Ovis aries: one gene and its partners. The protein of the gene in region 1 purifies or fractionates together with the protein of each later gene. This does not show direct contact. Links are inferred from orthologs where the notes say so. Each region holds a gene or a part of one and is shown in the gene's direction. Other genes may lie near its edges.

Region 1 (3,992 bases):
GTGCACTTTGAGCCACCTGGCCTTCGGCTAGTGCGGGGGGTTGGGGTGGAGATGGGGAGGGAACGGGAATGGGTGAGGCCAGAGGGAAGGGAGGTCTAGGTGCCTGGGAGGCGGGCGTGGTGGGGACAGAGGTCGCTTCTCCCTGGCAGGGCCCAAAGAGAAACCGGAGTAGGTGCTGACGTCTAGCAGCCATGGGGGAACACGGCCTGCTGGGGCTTTGTGTTCTGTATGAGGGTCCGGAGGACAGAGCAGAGGGGGTGAGCACTAGTGTATGAGCAGCGTCAGGGAGAGTGTCAGGAGAGGCCAGTGCCCAGGAAACAGGCAGTGTGCAGGAGGAGGCAGCGCCGGGGTGAAGGGGCGCGCGGGAGGTCGCAGGGGGCTCCCGGGTAAGGGAGCAGTGCCCAGGAGGGGGCCGAAGTGAGAGCTGGCACCCTAGAGGAAGGGGCAATGTAAAGAAAGAGGTGGCATCTGTAGGATAGGGTAGTGCCAGGATGAAGAAGCCCGTAGGAGAGCTTGTCTAGAAGGAGAGGACCGTGGTAGCGGAAAGGGAAGAACAGAGCTTAAGGGGCAGGGCTCGAGGAGGGCAGTGGGTTTGGGGTTAATGCCCTGCTGAAGGGGTGGTGTGAGAGAAGAGAGCAGGAAAGGGGACGGTGCAGGCTTTCCTCTTCCCCATGGTGACATCATGGCAAATTCCCAAACTGGAGGGACCCGGCTCAGGTGACATCCAGCTGGGACGAGCCGGCCCGGGCCGGCCTGGGTGCCAGCAGGAAGGGCTGGGTTTTGCGCCCAGTCGGGCCAGCGCCCTGGGGGCGGGGTGCTGCTCCCCTCACTCTCTGTGCGGACTTGCCCTCGGCGGGCACGCAGACCGGCACAGTAAGGCTCGGGCCGGGCTTCTCTGGGCCAAGGATCAAGGTCCCTGGCTGGGGCAGGCCGCTTGAGCATTCCAGTCTTCCAGACCCGGCTTCTGAAGAGGGCGCAGTAGAGCCTCGGGAGAGAGCCGGACGCGACGCCACCTCTGTCGGAGGTGGGACCCATCGTGTCGCCGCCGGGGGCGGGGTTTTCTGGACCCGAAACCAGCCCTCAATTCTGAAACCTCTGGGAAACAATCGTTCGGGGCGGAAGTTAAGAAGCCCCGAGAGCTAGGCAGCGGAAGTGGCTGCGGTACAGTTCTTCTATGCGCATGCGTTATTGTATTCCTTTGCCGCTGCCGTTTCAGCGCTGCGTCGTCTTAGCGCGCCTCTTTTCCTCCACGCGAGGGGGTGCGCTACCCCTAGTCGTCGTGGTCAGCGCGCCCAGTCCCTCTGCTACTCTCGTGGCCCCCTCACCATGGCGGGCATCCTTTTTGAGGATATTTTTGATGTAAAAGACATTGACCCGGAAGGCAAAAAGTTTGACCGAGGTAAGCAAGGTTTGGAGGGGCGGTTTCGGGGGAAGGGGCTAATCTCCTCTGGTACCCGCCCCCAGGCTGCTTGTCCACCCACTTTCGCGTGGCCTTTCCCTACCGGTGGGTCCTGGTGTGGGGACCTCTCTCGAGAAATAATTTTATAGATAAGAAAACGGAGACTCCCGAGCTCTCCCTGGTTTCACACAAGCTGTGCTCGCTGCCTGGGTGGCCTTTTCTGCTGGTGCTGGTGGACTCCAGGCATCTTTTATAATCGCTCCCCGCTCTGGACCGGGCGCTGTACTTAACACTTCGCACGCGCTTTGTCTCACTTATTTTCTTCCAGGAGTAGGCGGTGTCTTACCCATTTTGCTCTGAGAGGCTAAGCAGCCCACCCAAGGTTGTACAGTGAATAATCCGACTTCACAACCCGTTCCTCAGAGTCTTTAGCTGTTTGTAAAATCTTCTCAGAGTTTAAGAGTAGACTGCTTGGTATACACCTCTTTATTCTGTCATTTATCAATAATTGTCCTGGGTGTCTCTTCCTTTGCCTGGACACTGATAAGTTCTTCGGGACAAACACCAGTTCTTACACATCTTGATAATCAATCCCCTTAGCACAGCACCTGACACAGGAAGAGGAAACCTTAGGATGAATGAATACCTTGCCCCAAATCAGGTTATTTCTTAATCACTTAGGTTGGCCTAGAACCTGGATATTATTTATTGCCAGAGGATCTTTGATTCTTTTCTGTGGATTCTGTCCACTGGCCACAGGTTGTCTCCCCTTTCCTTCCTGCATGTGTGATTCTGATTGAGCCTGTACTTCTGTGAGAGCAGATGAGAGGCCAGTGGATACAGACTGCATTAGACTGAGTATTCTGTTGCATCCAGGCCCCTGAAGTACCTGTCTGCCCTGCCCTGTAGGGTCTGCCCTGGGCCACAGGCAGTTAACTTCTGCCACTCTTCCCCTCCAGTGTCTCGGCTGCATTGTGAGAGTGAATCTTTCAAGATGGACCTCATCCTTGATGTAAACATTCAGATTTACCCGGTAGACTTGGGTAAGTATTGAACACAAACAGCAGGAGGCTTTATGCCATCTCAGCTGGTCTCCACCCTCTGCTACCGCTGTTGTTTTCAGGTGACAAGTTCCGGTTGGTCATAGCCAGTACCTTATATGAAGATGGTACTCTGGATGATGGTGAATACAACCCCACAGATGATAGGCCTTCCAGGTGAGGGGATGGAAAAGGGAGCACCTGAAATGTGCCTGAGGACTAAGTGGATAGGTGTATAGAAAAACCCTTACTTAATTCATGAAATAAATGATTATCAGCAGACTCTGTTAGCTTAAGAAAAGTGCAGCACTTAAGAATCCAGACATCCAGGTGTTTATCCAAAGCAGTGATTACAGTGTGAGTTGTCACTTTTTGATAGTGGAGGAAATGAGCACTGAATGACCTAGGCTCTGTGGGCCTTGTGTCTTGGGAGGGAGTTTGGTGTGATGGAAAGGCTTTGGACGCCCACTCAGTTCACATCTCAGCTCTACCACTTATTTGTTGGATAACCTTAACCTCCTTCAACCTTAGTTTTTTCTCATCAATAACATTGATGGTCATACCTAGCTCACAGGGTTGCTGTGAGGATTGAATGACATCACGTTTAGAAAGTGCCTGGTGTTATGATGCTGGCGTATAGTTACCAGTTACCATTTTTTTAAAGGGCCTCTTACTTTTGTTAACTGTATTTAAGAATAACTGCCCCTATTGTTCCACAGGGCTGACCAATTTGAGTATGTCATGTATGGGAAAGTGTACAGGATTGAGGGAGACGAAACTTCTACTGAAGCAGCAACACGCCTGTAAGTTCCTTGGTCTTGTGAGAGCCCTTTCCCTTCTCATTTTGTGAGAATTTGGGCTATGCTTTGAAAATCTGGACCATCCTCAGGCTCCCTGGATTTCTTTCTTCAAGCACCTCAGACCTAGCGGGACCCAGAAAGGAACTGTTTTGGGAACAGTTTCAGTCTGAAATGTAGGCTGGTCAGTTTGCCCTCTGTCAGGATCTTAAGGCCTGTGATCTAAATGAGAAACTGTTAATCTTGCTGAGTGAAATGCCAAGGAAAGTTACTTCTCCAAGAACTAAATGCAGCATAAGTGATTAAACTGCTAGGCTTTTTTGTTTGTGTGTGTGTGTGTGTTTTGCTACTCTGCAATCCAATCCCTAGTTCTTTGGTTTCTCTGCCCAACTATTTTTTCCTTTTCTTTAAAACCTTATTAAAACAATATGTGCCCTTTGCAAGAAATTTGAAAAGCAGAAAAGTAATATGAAGAAGGAAAAAAGTCACCTATAATTCTATAACCAGAGGGAATCTTCTACATAAACATTCTTGAATGTTCTAGGTTTTTTTTTTCCTATGTACTTTTTTCTTTGAGATCATGTTGTTTATTACAATGTTTTGTTCTGTTCCATTTGCTTAATGTTATGTAAAACATGTTTCCTCATGTCAATTTAAAGCTTTTCCTAAACATTTTTTTTAAATTCCTAAACATTTTTATAGCTGTGTAACATTCCAATAAATGGATGTATCTTAATTGATTTGACCATTTCCCTT
Region 2 (3,500 bases), about 130 Mb from region 1:
AGTACAACTGCTTTATCAATTAGGGCAAAAAGTCTGACTGACCATATAAACAAAATACAGGAGAATTATAATAATCTCTGCCCTCAATAAGCTTGTAGTCTAGTTGAGAAACTAGACTTAAAGATATGAAAAGTAAGACATTTAGATAAAATTTCTGTAGTAAGTCATAGAAGAGTACATGATCAATGTGTATTAACTGTAAAGACAATGATGATTAAAATTTAGAGAAGGGAGAGATTTACTTTAACAGGTTAATCAGGGAAACTCATTGGGCTTGTGGAACTTAGTCCAGAAATATGAGAAAATTTTGGATAAAAAAGATTAATCCAGATTTCTTGTGGATGAGTTTTACAATATGTTGTCATTTAATATTTTTTCTTAAACGTTTTTATATGAACTGTTTCCTTTTTGTTATATTTTCTATCCAAAGTGGTTATAATGAACCACTTTCAAGTGTTTGATATATCAGGTGCTTTCAATTTTTTATTCCTGTTTTCTTGTCACAGACATCCTGATTTTCAGCTGCTACAAGAAGGACAAAGGTATGGTTGAATCAGTATCACTTACCTTCTATATATTCATGTTAATAGAAACATTAAGAGTAAACCAGGTGATATGAACTCTTGGACTTCCTGTGGTGGTGCATTATGTAAGTGCCCATTCTAGCCCACACAAAGAAATATTTGCCTTGTACAGCTTTTTTTCTTTTGTGATGGTAAGATGATGTGTTTGATCTGTATGATTTACTGTACAGCTGTTCCTACCAAGGAAGTCTAATTGAACCTGTTGAAATATGACACAAACACAGCTTCCATCTGAAATACTGTGCTTCTTTGTCAAGCAAATTGTGACAATTACATTTGTTGAAAGGTTTTTATAGCCTTATTTTGTAGAATTTCAAAACATTAATGTATCAGTTATTTAATTATTTGAAAGAGTGTTTAAAGCATTAATAGAAATTCCAAGTTGTATTTTTTCCTAAACTTTCCTAGTGACATTGCTTGCCCAGCCATGATCATCTCTCAAAACATACCCTTTTATCTTCCAGAGTAAATTTTCCTGGTTATTAATCACTACGTTAGTTATATGAAATTGAGCACAAGCGAGATACTCTTTAATTATATAAATCTTCAGTTTATGGGTTTGAAATAGTATAGAAAAACATAATTACCTTACAATTCCAAGAGAGAGTGTACATGAAAATTGTTATTCTAAGTTTTTTGAAATTGTACTTTAGTTACAGTAGACAGTTCATGACTGTCTAGGCTAAATTCTAACTTTAAAAATGTTACCTGATACTGAATAAACTTACTATCTTTTTTCTCCATCTCCATCCAGAACCTTGTTTTCAACTCTGCTTGTATTCTTCTTTTATACTTTCCCCAAGCATGCTTTTTTGTTTATTGCTGAATTATTTTATTTCATTTTAAAAACCTTTTTAAAAAATGCAATAGCCAGTTTTGGAGAGCAGTTTACGGAAAAATTGTGTGAAAAGTAGAGAGTTCCTTTATACCCTTTCATGACTCTCCCAGTACTTCTTGACCCAGAATCCTTCCCATCCTGAGCTTTTAAAGTTCTCATTTGTGCATTTGTTTAAGGGTAATTGATCTCCTCCTCCCCTCATCTTTCTCGTTTGTATAGACAACGCTTCTCTTTGCCTTTACTCTTTCATGTTTTTTAATCTTTTGTAAACCTAATCTGAAAATTAAAGTAACATAGTCAAAGGGAAAACTATTGTCTTTAATTATTATCTTTGTATGTTAATTCTGGACTTTCAAGTATCTTTCATTGATTAATGTTGATTTGCCAACTTTTGCTATGACTTTCTTATATTTTTAATTTAATGCAATTTTCTACATAACTATCAGCCAGGATTGGAAAATGCTTAAACATCTTTTTTTAAATATTCAAAATCTGAACAGAGTTCCTACAGTATTTTTTTTTTTTTTTTTTGAGAAACCGGTAATGAATTTATCAAAAGAAACCTTAAAAGAAAAAAAAACAACTATGGATTCATTACAGAAATGGAGTGAGCAAAAATTAAAATAATTCAGTAGTATGACATTAGCGAGTGTTGGTTTGTGAGATTTTATTTGTGCGGGTATGGTTTGATTTTTAGTTTTGTTTTTCTTTTTGCTCAACTCGTAACACTTTTAAAATAATTAAGGAGAAAAGATAAGGGAAGAAGATGGAAAGAGAACTATATCAGATATGTAGAAAAATTACAGAATTATAGCTTTCTTCTGAAATGTGTGTGTGTTTATAGGCCTAGGTAAATATTAGCCTATAAATAAAGCCTTGCCTAGGGAATAAAATTTTTATCTTGAAAGTTACAAAGTATAAATTCTCTGGGACATTTTGTTTCTGTGTTACAGTTTTTCTTTCTTTCTCTCAACAGTGGTCCTTCTGGAGAAGAAATACATTTATGCAGCAAAGCCATTAAAACATCAGATATTGACAATCCTGGCCATTTTGAGAAGCATTATGAATCTAGTTCTTCTAGCACTCATAGTGATAGTAGCAGTGATAATGAGCAAGACTTTGTTTCCTCCGTTCTGCCAGGAAACAGACCAAATGCAACAAGGCCGCAGCTGCACAAAAAAAGCATAATGAAAAAGAAAGCTGGTCAAAAAGTTAACTCTCAGCATGAAAGCAAAGAGCAAACAGTAGTAGATGTCATTGAGCAGTTAGGCAATTGCAGATTAGATAATCAGGAGAAAGCTACTGCTTGTGAACTTCCTTTACAGAATGTAAATACACAGATTTCTTCAAATAGTTCTCTGCAAGAAAAATTAGAAGCTTCAGAAATTTCTGATATTAAATACAGTAGTTCAAAAGTAACTCTTGTAGGCATAAGTAAGAAAAGTGCTGAGCATTTTAAGAGGAAATTTGCCAAATCAAACCAAGTTTCTGGGTCAGCTTCCAGTTCATTGCAGGTGTGCCCTGAAATTGCAAAGGCAAACTTACTTAAAGCCCTGAAAGAGACTTTGATTGAGTGGAAGACAGAAGAAACTTTGAGGTTTTTGTATGGCCAGAATTATGCATCTGTATGTCTAAAATCCTCTTCAACCCCTCTGGTTAAAGAAGAACTTGATGAAGATGATACAAACTCTGACCCAGATAGTCATTCCCCTGCCTTGCAGGAGTTGAACAGCTTGGATGAGTCTTTACCATTTAGAGCCTCAGATACAGCCATTAAACCACTGCCAAGTTATGAGAACTTGAAAAAAGAAACTGAAACATTAAATTTACGGATCAGGGAGTTTTATAGAGGACGGTATGTTTTGAATGAAGAAACCACCAAATCACAGGACTCAGAAGAGGTATGTCTTAATGACAGTTATTTTTTTTTAATATTGATTTATTTGGCTGCACCAGGTCTTAGCTGCGGCATGTGGGATCTTCAGTCTTTGTTGTGGTGTGCAGGGATCTTTTTTTATTAGTTGGCGGCACGCAAACTCGTAGTTGCAGCATGTGAGATCTAGGTCCACCACCAGGGA
Region 3 (3,500 bases), on another chromosome or scaffold:
TGAGCTTTTCTAAAGTTAAATTATATATATAATTTTTTTATTGGTTTTTTAATGTTTATTATTTTTGGCTGTGCTGGGTCTTGCCGCGCAGGCTTTCTCTAGATGTGGTGAGCAGGGGCTAATCTAGTTGCGGTGCTCAGATTTCTTATTGCGGTGACTTTTCTTGTTGCAGAGCAGGGCTCTAGGGTGCCCAGGATTCAGAAGTTGCTGCAAGGTAGTTGGGATGCACGGGCTTAGTTGCCCCAGGGCATGTGGGATCTTCCCAGACCAGGGATCAAACCAGTGCCCCTTGTATAGCAAGATGGATTCTTCTTTTTTTTTTTTCATTTCTTCTTGCTCTTTCATTTTTTTTTTTAGTTATTTATTTTTTTGTTGCACTGGGTATTCATTGTGGCATATGGGATCTCATTCCCTGACCAGGGATTGAACCTGAACTCCCTGCATTAGGGAGTCTTAGCCACTGGACCACCAGGGAAGTCCCGCAAGATGGATTCTTAACCAGTGGACAATCAAGGAAGCCCTGAATTATGTTCTTTAAATATAGTATGTTTTATATAATTCAGAGATGATTGCCTCTACTCCCCTCCCCCTTTTTTTGCCTTTTAAAACAGCTTTTCTTATATGATGATAGTGGGGGATTTTTTTGCTTTTGAGTTTTTCTTTTAATAATTTTATCTTGAAAAAATGTTGTCAACCCTAGGTTGGTTCCCTAGATATTTGGAAATTTTACTGGTCAGTGAAATCCAAAGTCTTAGAAAATACATTTTTTCCCCCCTCTCTAAAGATCCATTTCCAAAAGAAGCTTCATTGCTGGTTCTTCATTGTCTTAATGTGATGTGGCTCAGGGCCAGGTACTGGAAGGAGCTCTGGGCTGGGATTCTGGAGAACTGAGTCCCCATCTGCCTGATGGACTATGTGGTCTTCCCCTCACTGAGCCTTAGTTTTCCCATCTGTACAAGGAGGCTGCCATGAGATGACACCGAAGAGCCTTTTATGGCTGCGATTCCATGATTGTGATAGTGGTAGAACAACAGTATGTAACAATAACAGTCAGCACTGATGGGACTCTTCCCTGTGCCAAGCGCCACTTTAATTGCATTGTCTCATTTACTCCACAAAAATCCATAGGGTGAGGGTATTTAATTTAGGGGCAAAGAAACAAAAACAGAGACGTTCAGAAACTTGCTCAAGCCACTGCATGGCAGAGAGAGGATTCAGACCTAGGTAGGTGAGAGCCCGTGCTCCAGACCACCACATCAGGATTGGGCAGAGTGCTGAGTCTTGGACACTGCCTGTGAATAAAGTTTTAGTGGAACATAGCTTCAGTCATTCATTCCTGTGTTAATCAGTGGCTGCCTTTGCACTGCAGTGGCAGTGACCATTTGCTCACGAAATGTTTATTTACTGTCTAGACCTTTACTCCCCCTGCACTAAATTCATGCTCCTATTGTAAGGAGCTGGTGGGATGGCCCTTCCTCAGCTGTTGACTGTATACCAGGTGTGGGGTGCCTACTGGCTGGTCTTACACATTTCCCCTTTTCCCTCCCCTGTTGTAGTCACTGCTCCTTTGTCATAGAAGCGTTGAAGTCTTTGCCATCAAATGAGGAGAGCCGAGACCGCCAGGCACGGTGCATATGGTACCTGGACACCCTCATCAAATTTCGAGCACAGAAAGTGATTAAGCGGAAAAGTAAGTCCATGATAGACTTTTTTTTTTAATTGAAATACAGTCGATTTACATTGTGTTTGTTTAAAGTATACAGCAAAGTGATTCAGTTACATATGTATTTATACATATATATATTCTTTTTCAGATTTTTTTCCATTATAGATTATTAAAGGATACTGTATATAGTTTCTTGTGCTATACTGTGGGTCCTTGTTATTTTATGTATACCAGCATGTATCTGTTAGTCCCAAACTCCTAATTTATCCCTCCTTCCCTTGCTTTTCCCCTTTGGTAACCATACATTTATTTTCTATGTCTATGAGTCTGATTTGTATCATTTTCTTTAGATTCCACATAAAAGTGTTACTATATTTGTCTCTCTGTCTGGCTTTACTCATTATGATAATCTCTAGGTCCACCCATGTTGCTGCAAAGGGCATCATTTCATACTTTTTTATGGCTAAGTAATATTCCATAGAAATATATATACTACATCTTTATCCATTCATCTGTTGTTGGACATTTAGGTTGCTTCTGTGTCTTGGCTATTGTAAGCAGGGCTACAATGAACTTTGGGGTTTATATATCAGGATAGGCATTTTATTCTAGTTATTTCCAGTCTGTTATCTGTCTATAACTATTAGACTAATTCTAGTGAAGAAAGCTGAGCGCTGAAGAATGGATGTTTTTGAACTATGGAGAAAACTCTTGAGAGTCCCTTGGACTGCAAGGAGATCCAGCCAGTCCATTCTAAAGGAGATAGTCCTGGGTGTTCTTTGGAAGGACTGATGCTGAAGCTGAAGCTCTAATACTTTGGCCACCTCATGAGAAGAGTTGACTCATTGGAAAAGGCTCTGATGCTGGGAGGGATTGGGGGCAGGAGGAGAAGGGGACAACAGAGGATGAGATGGCTGGATGGCATCACCGACTTGATGGACATTGAGTTTGAGTGAACTCCGGGAGTTGGTGATGGACAGGGAGGCCTGGCATGCTGCGATTCATGGGGTCTCAAAGAGTCGGACACGACTGAACGACTGGACTGAACTGAGAGAAGAAATGGGCATGTCTTTCCAGGTCTTCATTTATAACTGTGTAACAGAGGGGGTACTGCTGATGTGCTGAGAGAACTTGCCAAGCTCTTTCCTCTGAAAATAGGGTCGAGTTGGATTATATGATTGCTCAGAGCTAACATTCACTACTTCTGTTCTATGTTAGGTAAAGTATAACATCCAGTCCAATCAAGTGAATATTCTAGGGGAAGGTTAGAACTAGTTGTATGGGGAGAAAAGTTGGCCTTGCTTGTGAAGGCCTGTGGCACAATGTTGTGTCAGCTCTTTCTGGCTTGGAGGGAAGTCACTTTCTGCTGGTAACCCATGTCACCTGTCACCAGGGCATGGGTGTCTGCCACACATGCACGGCCACCCAGAGTTGGAAATCCAGAGAGAGACACCTGTGATTTGAGGCCTAAGGTGTATACAGTTGTGTTACTGTGACTAGGCACCTGGGGTTTATACAGGAACACCTCGTTCTGCCATTCTTCACAGATACCATGGTTTTTACAAATTGAAGGTTTGCAGCAACCCTGGGTTGACCAAGTCAGCACCATTTTTCCAACAGAGTCTGCTTGCTTTGTGTCTATGTATCACATTTCATTGTTTGTGAATATTTTCAACTTTTACATTGTTATATTATGATGGTCTATGATCAGTGATCTTTGATGTCACTGCTACAACACTCTGAAGGCTAAGATGATGGCTAGCAATTTTTTAGCAGTAAGGTATCTTTTAATTGAGGTATGGACACTGGTTTTTAATTTTTAATTAATTATTGG
Region 4 (3,500 bases), on another chromosome or scaffold:
GCTGTGCATTGGGCCCTCTCGTTGAGAGTGGAGGCAAGGGCCGCAGGCTGCTGGGCTATTACTGTCTGCTGGATCTGAGGCTGGAGGCCCAACCTTGCACTGCATAGAGCCCAGGACGCCTGCCTGTTGGCTGTGCTGAGGGCAGAACTTGGCCTGCTTCCTAGTCCTTAGGGCCTGATTGCCTCCAGATGCCCAGATAATGCTCCCTACATAGCGCTCAGTGCCCTTGCTAGCATGGCTGGAGCAGGGGAGCCAGAGGGATGAGCCCTCGGGTGGTCCTGAGCTTGAGGAAGGCAGCAGACAGTGCTGTCCACAGCGCTGAGAGCCTGAGCACCGCCTCAAAGCCGAAAGCCCCTTTGGATGCCCGCCTGAGTGTAGAGGCTGCTCGGCTATGACAGTGGGGTGGCAGGCCTTTCCCCAGCCCCACCCTGAGCAGCTTCCAGGAGGGTCTCTGGCTGTGTGAGGGTCTACAGTGCCAGCTTGCTCCAGCCCCCAGCATTGCTCAGGTGTTCTGCCTGCCCCTCCTCTGGCAGCAGGACAGCGTCTGCCCAAGGACAAGGACACTCTGTGCCACTGGGCTCGCTCTGTGGACACTGCTGGTTCAGGAGTGTGTAGGGACCCAGGGCTCTAAATACACCAGGGTGAGGTCACTGAGGTGGAGAGAGGCCATGTGGCAAGCCCAGGACCGTGCGGGCCAGAATCCCAGGGCTGGGGACAGGGAGCGGGTGGCCTTGTTCCCGTGGGACCAGCCTCCTCACTGCCCGGTTTGTCAGGATATTTTCTTAGACATCACTGCTTTGGGGCTCCAGAAAAATCTGTCTACCCCAGGGTTGCAAAGATATTTTCCTGTTTATTCTAGAAACCTTAGAGTTTTTGCTTTCACATTTAGATCTGGGGTCCATTTTAATTTTTGAGTATGCTGTGATGCTTAGTGTAATTGGAATCAACCCAGTGTGTATCTCCTGTGACTTTTCATCCACTGTGGTTTGAAGTTCATCTGTTGATGTACTGAAGCTGCAGTGTGCTCATTTCTAGAGCTCTTGAATTTCTTAGTCTGTTCAACTTTTGGACGACAGTGGTGTCGTTACAACATGTGACCACATGACCCACTCCTTTACATCACATTCATAAAATGTGATGGTAATAATAGTTCACACCTTCTGCTTGAGGTTGTGATAATTCAGTGGAGTAGTGCTGTATGGAAACAGACCTTGGTAGAACAGGGCCTGGTTCATAGCACGTGTCATCGAGGTATAGAATTGCTTGGTCACGAGACACACAAGTGTTTGATTTGACCAGACACAGCCCAGTGCTCCCCAGAGTTGGCCGTACCCCAGAACTACCTGGTGTTGTCAGATACCGTTTCCAGCAGTCTGGCGTGTGTTCGTTGCAGCCGCTTGTGGGTTCGGTGTGCCTCGCCTGATGGCCAGGAGAGTTGAGCGCTGCTGCACCATTTCCTGTCGTGCCCAGTCCCTGTTCGTGTCTCCCGGCCCGCGTTCTCTGTGGGCCCAAACACAGACCCGGCGGGCCCTGTGGCATTGGTCTCCTCCCACTTTGTGACTTCTGCTCTCCTTGGGATGTCTTTCAGTGAACTCTATAAAGATCTTGTTAAGGCAGCTAAATTGATTAGATGATTATGCACAGCTGTTTTAAATGTGGTGCGTTTTATTCAGTGAGTCCTTCAGCCTCCCATCAGATGGCAGACTCGAGTGCATTTCCCGCATCAAGAGTGAATCTTGTTTCATAAATGTGAATTTCAGTTGTGCGGCAGCCGCTTGGGCAGATGGGTGTGTCCGTGGACAGACTCAGTCACCTGTTCACCGGGCACTGGAGGAGGCCGACGGGAGGGTGCGCACTAGGTGCGTGCTGGCCCCTGGGAGCAGGTAGGAGGCTGCAGGAGGGGGTCTCCGGTGATGCTGGCTCTACCGGCGCTTGGGAAAGGGGGAATTATGGAGCAGGCCAGCACCGGGAGAAGTGCCTGAGGTCTGACAGCGGCTCTTGTTTTACAGATCCGGAACATGGTGGCGGTGCAGGAAGTCATCTCCAGCCTGGAGAAATACCCCATCACCAAAGAGGCACTGGAGGTGAGCATTCCAGGTCTGAGCACTAGGGCGGCAGTGATGCGGGGCCCGGGCTGCCCCAGCCCTGGGCTTTCTTGACTTCTTGGAGCCCCAGAGACTTTGCTCACTGGCCCAGCAAGGCCTTAAAGGGAGGAGTGAGGGGGGCATGCCCTTCTGGCCTGCACTGTGCCAGTCCACAGCACATGGGCACTGCAGGAAATACGAGAGGCTTTAGTTCAGAGTTGAGGCCCCTTTCTCTGCAGGAGGCCCTGCACACTCTGCAGTGCGCAGCAGAGGCTCCAGTGAGTGAGGCTGGCTCAAGGTCCCGTGTGCTGTTGCCTTTGCCACAGTGTACTCTCACCTAGAAATCTCCCCTGGCCAAGTGTCCTTGAGGTGGCCGTGAATGGTCCGCGGCCTTCAGGAGTTGGGAGCCTGTGAGATGATGCTTCTGAGAATGCTCTGTCTGTCCCATGGACTGTAAGATCTGAGGACTTGGGTTTGAGAATTTAAATGTCACGAGGGGCCCAAAATCTTCATAGGTTTTGTGTCTGGGAGACCAGTGGTTTAGGGGGCCTGTGGGGTCATTTCAAAGACACGAGCCCTTCCCCCAGCTCCATGGGAAGCTCCATTTCTGCCTCTGCTCTCTCTTCATGGGGTGTCCCTGTCCTAAAAGCGTGTCATTGTGTCTCTCTGGCTGTAGGAAACCCGCCTTGGGAAGCTCATCAACGACGTCCGCAAGAAGACCAAGAACGAGGAGCTTGCCAAACGGGCCAAGAAGCTGCTGCGGAGCTGGCAGAAGCTCATCGAGCCCGTGCACCAGAATGAGGCTGCGCTGCGGGGGCTGGCGGGTGCCACCGGCTCAGCCAACGGCGGTGCCCACAACTGCCGGCCAGAGGCAGGGGCGGCCGGCCCGCCCAAGAGCGTCCATGACCTGAAGTACCGCAATGACATGCCAAGGCTGTGCGGGCAGCGGCTGGACAGGTTGGGCAGCCGCAAGCGCCGGGGAGACCAGCGTGACCTTGGTCACCCTGGGCCACCTCCCAAGGTCTCCAAGGCAAGCCACGACTCCCTGGTACCCAACTCGTCCCCCCTCCCCACCAATGGGATCAGCGGGAGCCCTGAGAGCTTCCCCAGCCCCCTGGACAGCAGTGGGCACGTGGGCCCTGAGGGCAACCGCCTGGAGCACGGCGAGAATGACAAGCACAGCGGCAAGATCCCCGTCAATGCCGTGAGGCCGCACACCAGCTCCCCGGGCCTGGGCAAGCCCCCCGGGCCCTGCTTGCAGACGAAGGCTGTGGTGCTGCAGCAGTTGGACAGGGTGGACGAGACTCCAGGGCCCCCCCACCCCAAGGGGCCACCTCGCTGCTCTCTCGGTTCCCGGAACTCACGGCACGAGGGCTCCTTTGCCCGGCAGCGGAGCCCGTACACGTACAAGGGCTC

What was found.
Region 2: the proteins of POLR2H (region 1) and RPAP2 purify together in Homo sapiens (affinity purification with mass spectrometry; 3 studies listed by BioGRID and IntAct, with this or other methods). This does not show direct contact. The link is inferred for Ovis aries from reciprocal best matches to the Homo sapiens genes POLR2H and RPAP2.
Region 3: the proteins of POLR2H (region 1) and POLR1E purify together in Homo sapiens (affinity purification with mass spectrometry; 3 studies listed by BioGRID and IntAct, with this or other methods). This does not show direct contact. The link is inferred for Ovis aries from reciprocal best matches to the Homo sapiens genes POLR2H and POLR1E.
Region 4: the proteins of POLR2H (region 1) and MED26 purify together in Homo sapiens (affinity purification with mass spectrometry; 3 studies listed by BioGRID and IntAct, with this or other methods). This does not show direct contact. The link is inferred for Ovis aries from reciprocal best matches to the Homo sapiens genes POLR2H and MED26.

Annotation. Positions count from the first base shown.
Region 1 is NC_056054.1:203,612,170-203,616,161, reverse strand, and holds the start of POLR2H (DNA-directed RNA polymerases I, II, and III subunit RPABC3), read left to right. Parts: upstream 1-1,192; 5' UTR 1,193-1,326; coding exon 1,327-1,399; intron 1,400-2,358; coding exon 2,359-2,442; intron 2,443-2,522; coding exon 2,523-2,616; intron 2,617-3,158; coding exon 3,159-3,242; intron 3,243-3,992. UniProt on the Homo sapiens protein: DNA-dependent RNA polymerase catalyzes the transcription of DNA into RNA using the four ribonucleoside triphosphates as substrates.
Region 2 is NC_056054.1:69,579,221-69,582,720, forward strand, and holds part of RPAP2 (putative RNA polymerase II subunit B1 CTD phosphatase RPAP2), read left to right. Parts: intron 1-506; coding exon 507-542; intron 543-2,398; coding exon 2,399-3,323; intron 3,324-3,500.
Region 3 is NC_056055.1:51,249,217-51,252,716, reverse strand, and holds part of POLR1E (DNA-directed RNA polymerase I subunit RPA49), read left to right. Parts: intron 1-1,556; coding exon 1,557-1,690; intron 1,691-3,500. UniProt on the Homo sapiens protein: Component of RNA polymerase I (Pol I), a DNA-dependent RNA polymerase which synthesizes ribosomal RNA precursors using the four ribonucleoside triphosphates as substrates.
Region 4 is NC_056058.1:6,224,949-6,228,448, forward strand, and holds part of MED26 (mediator of RNA polymerase II transcription subunit 26), read left to right. Parts: intron 1-2,009; coding exon 2,010-2,084; intron 2,085-2,760; coding exon 2,761-3,500. UniProt on the Homo sapiens protein: Component of the Mediator complex, a coactivator involved in the regulated transcription of nearly all RNA polymerase II-dependent genes.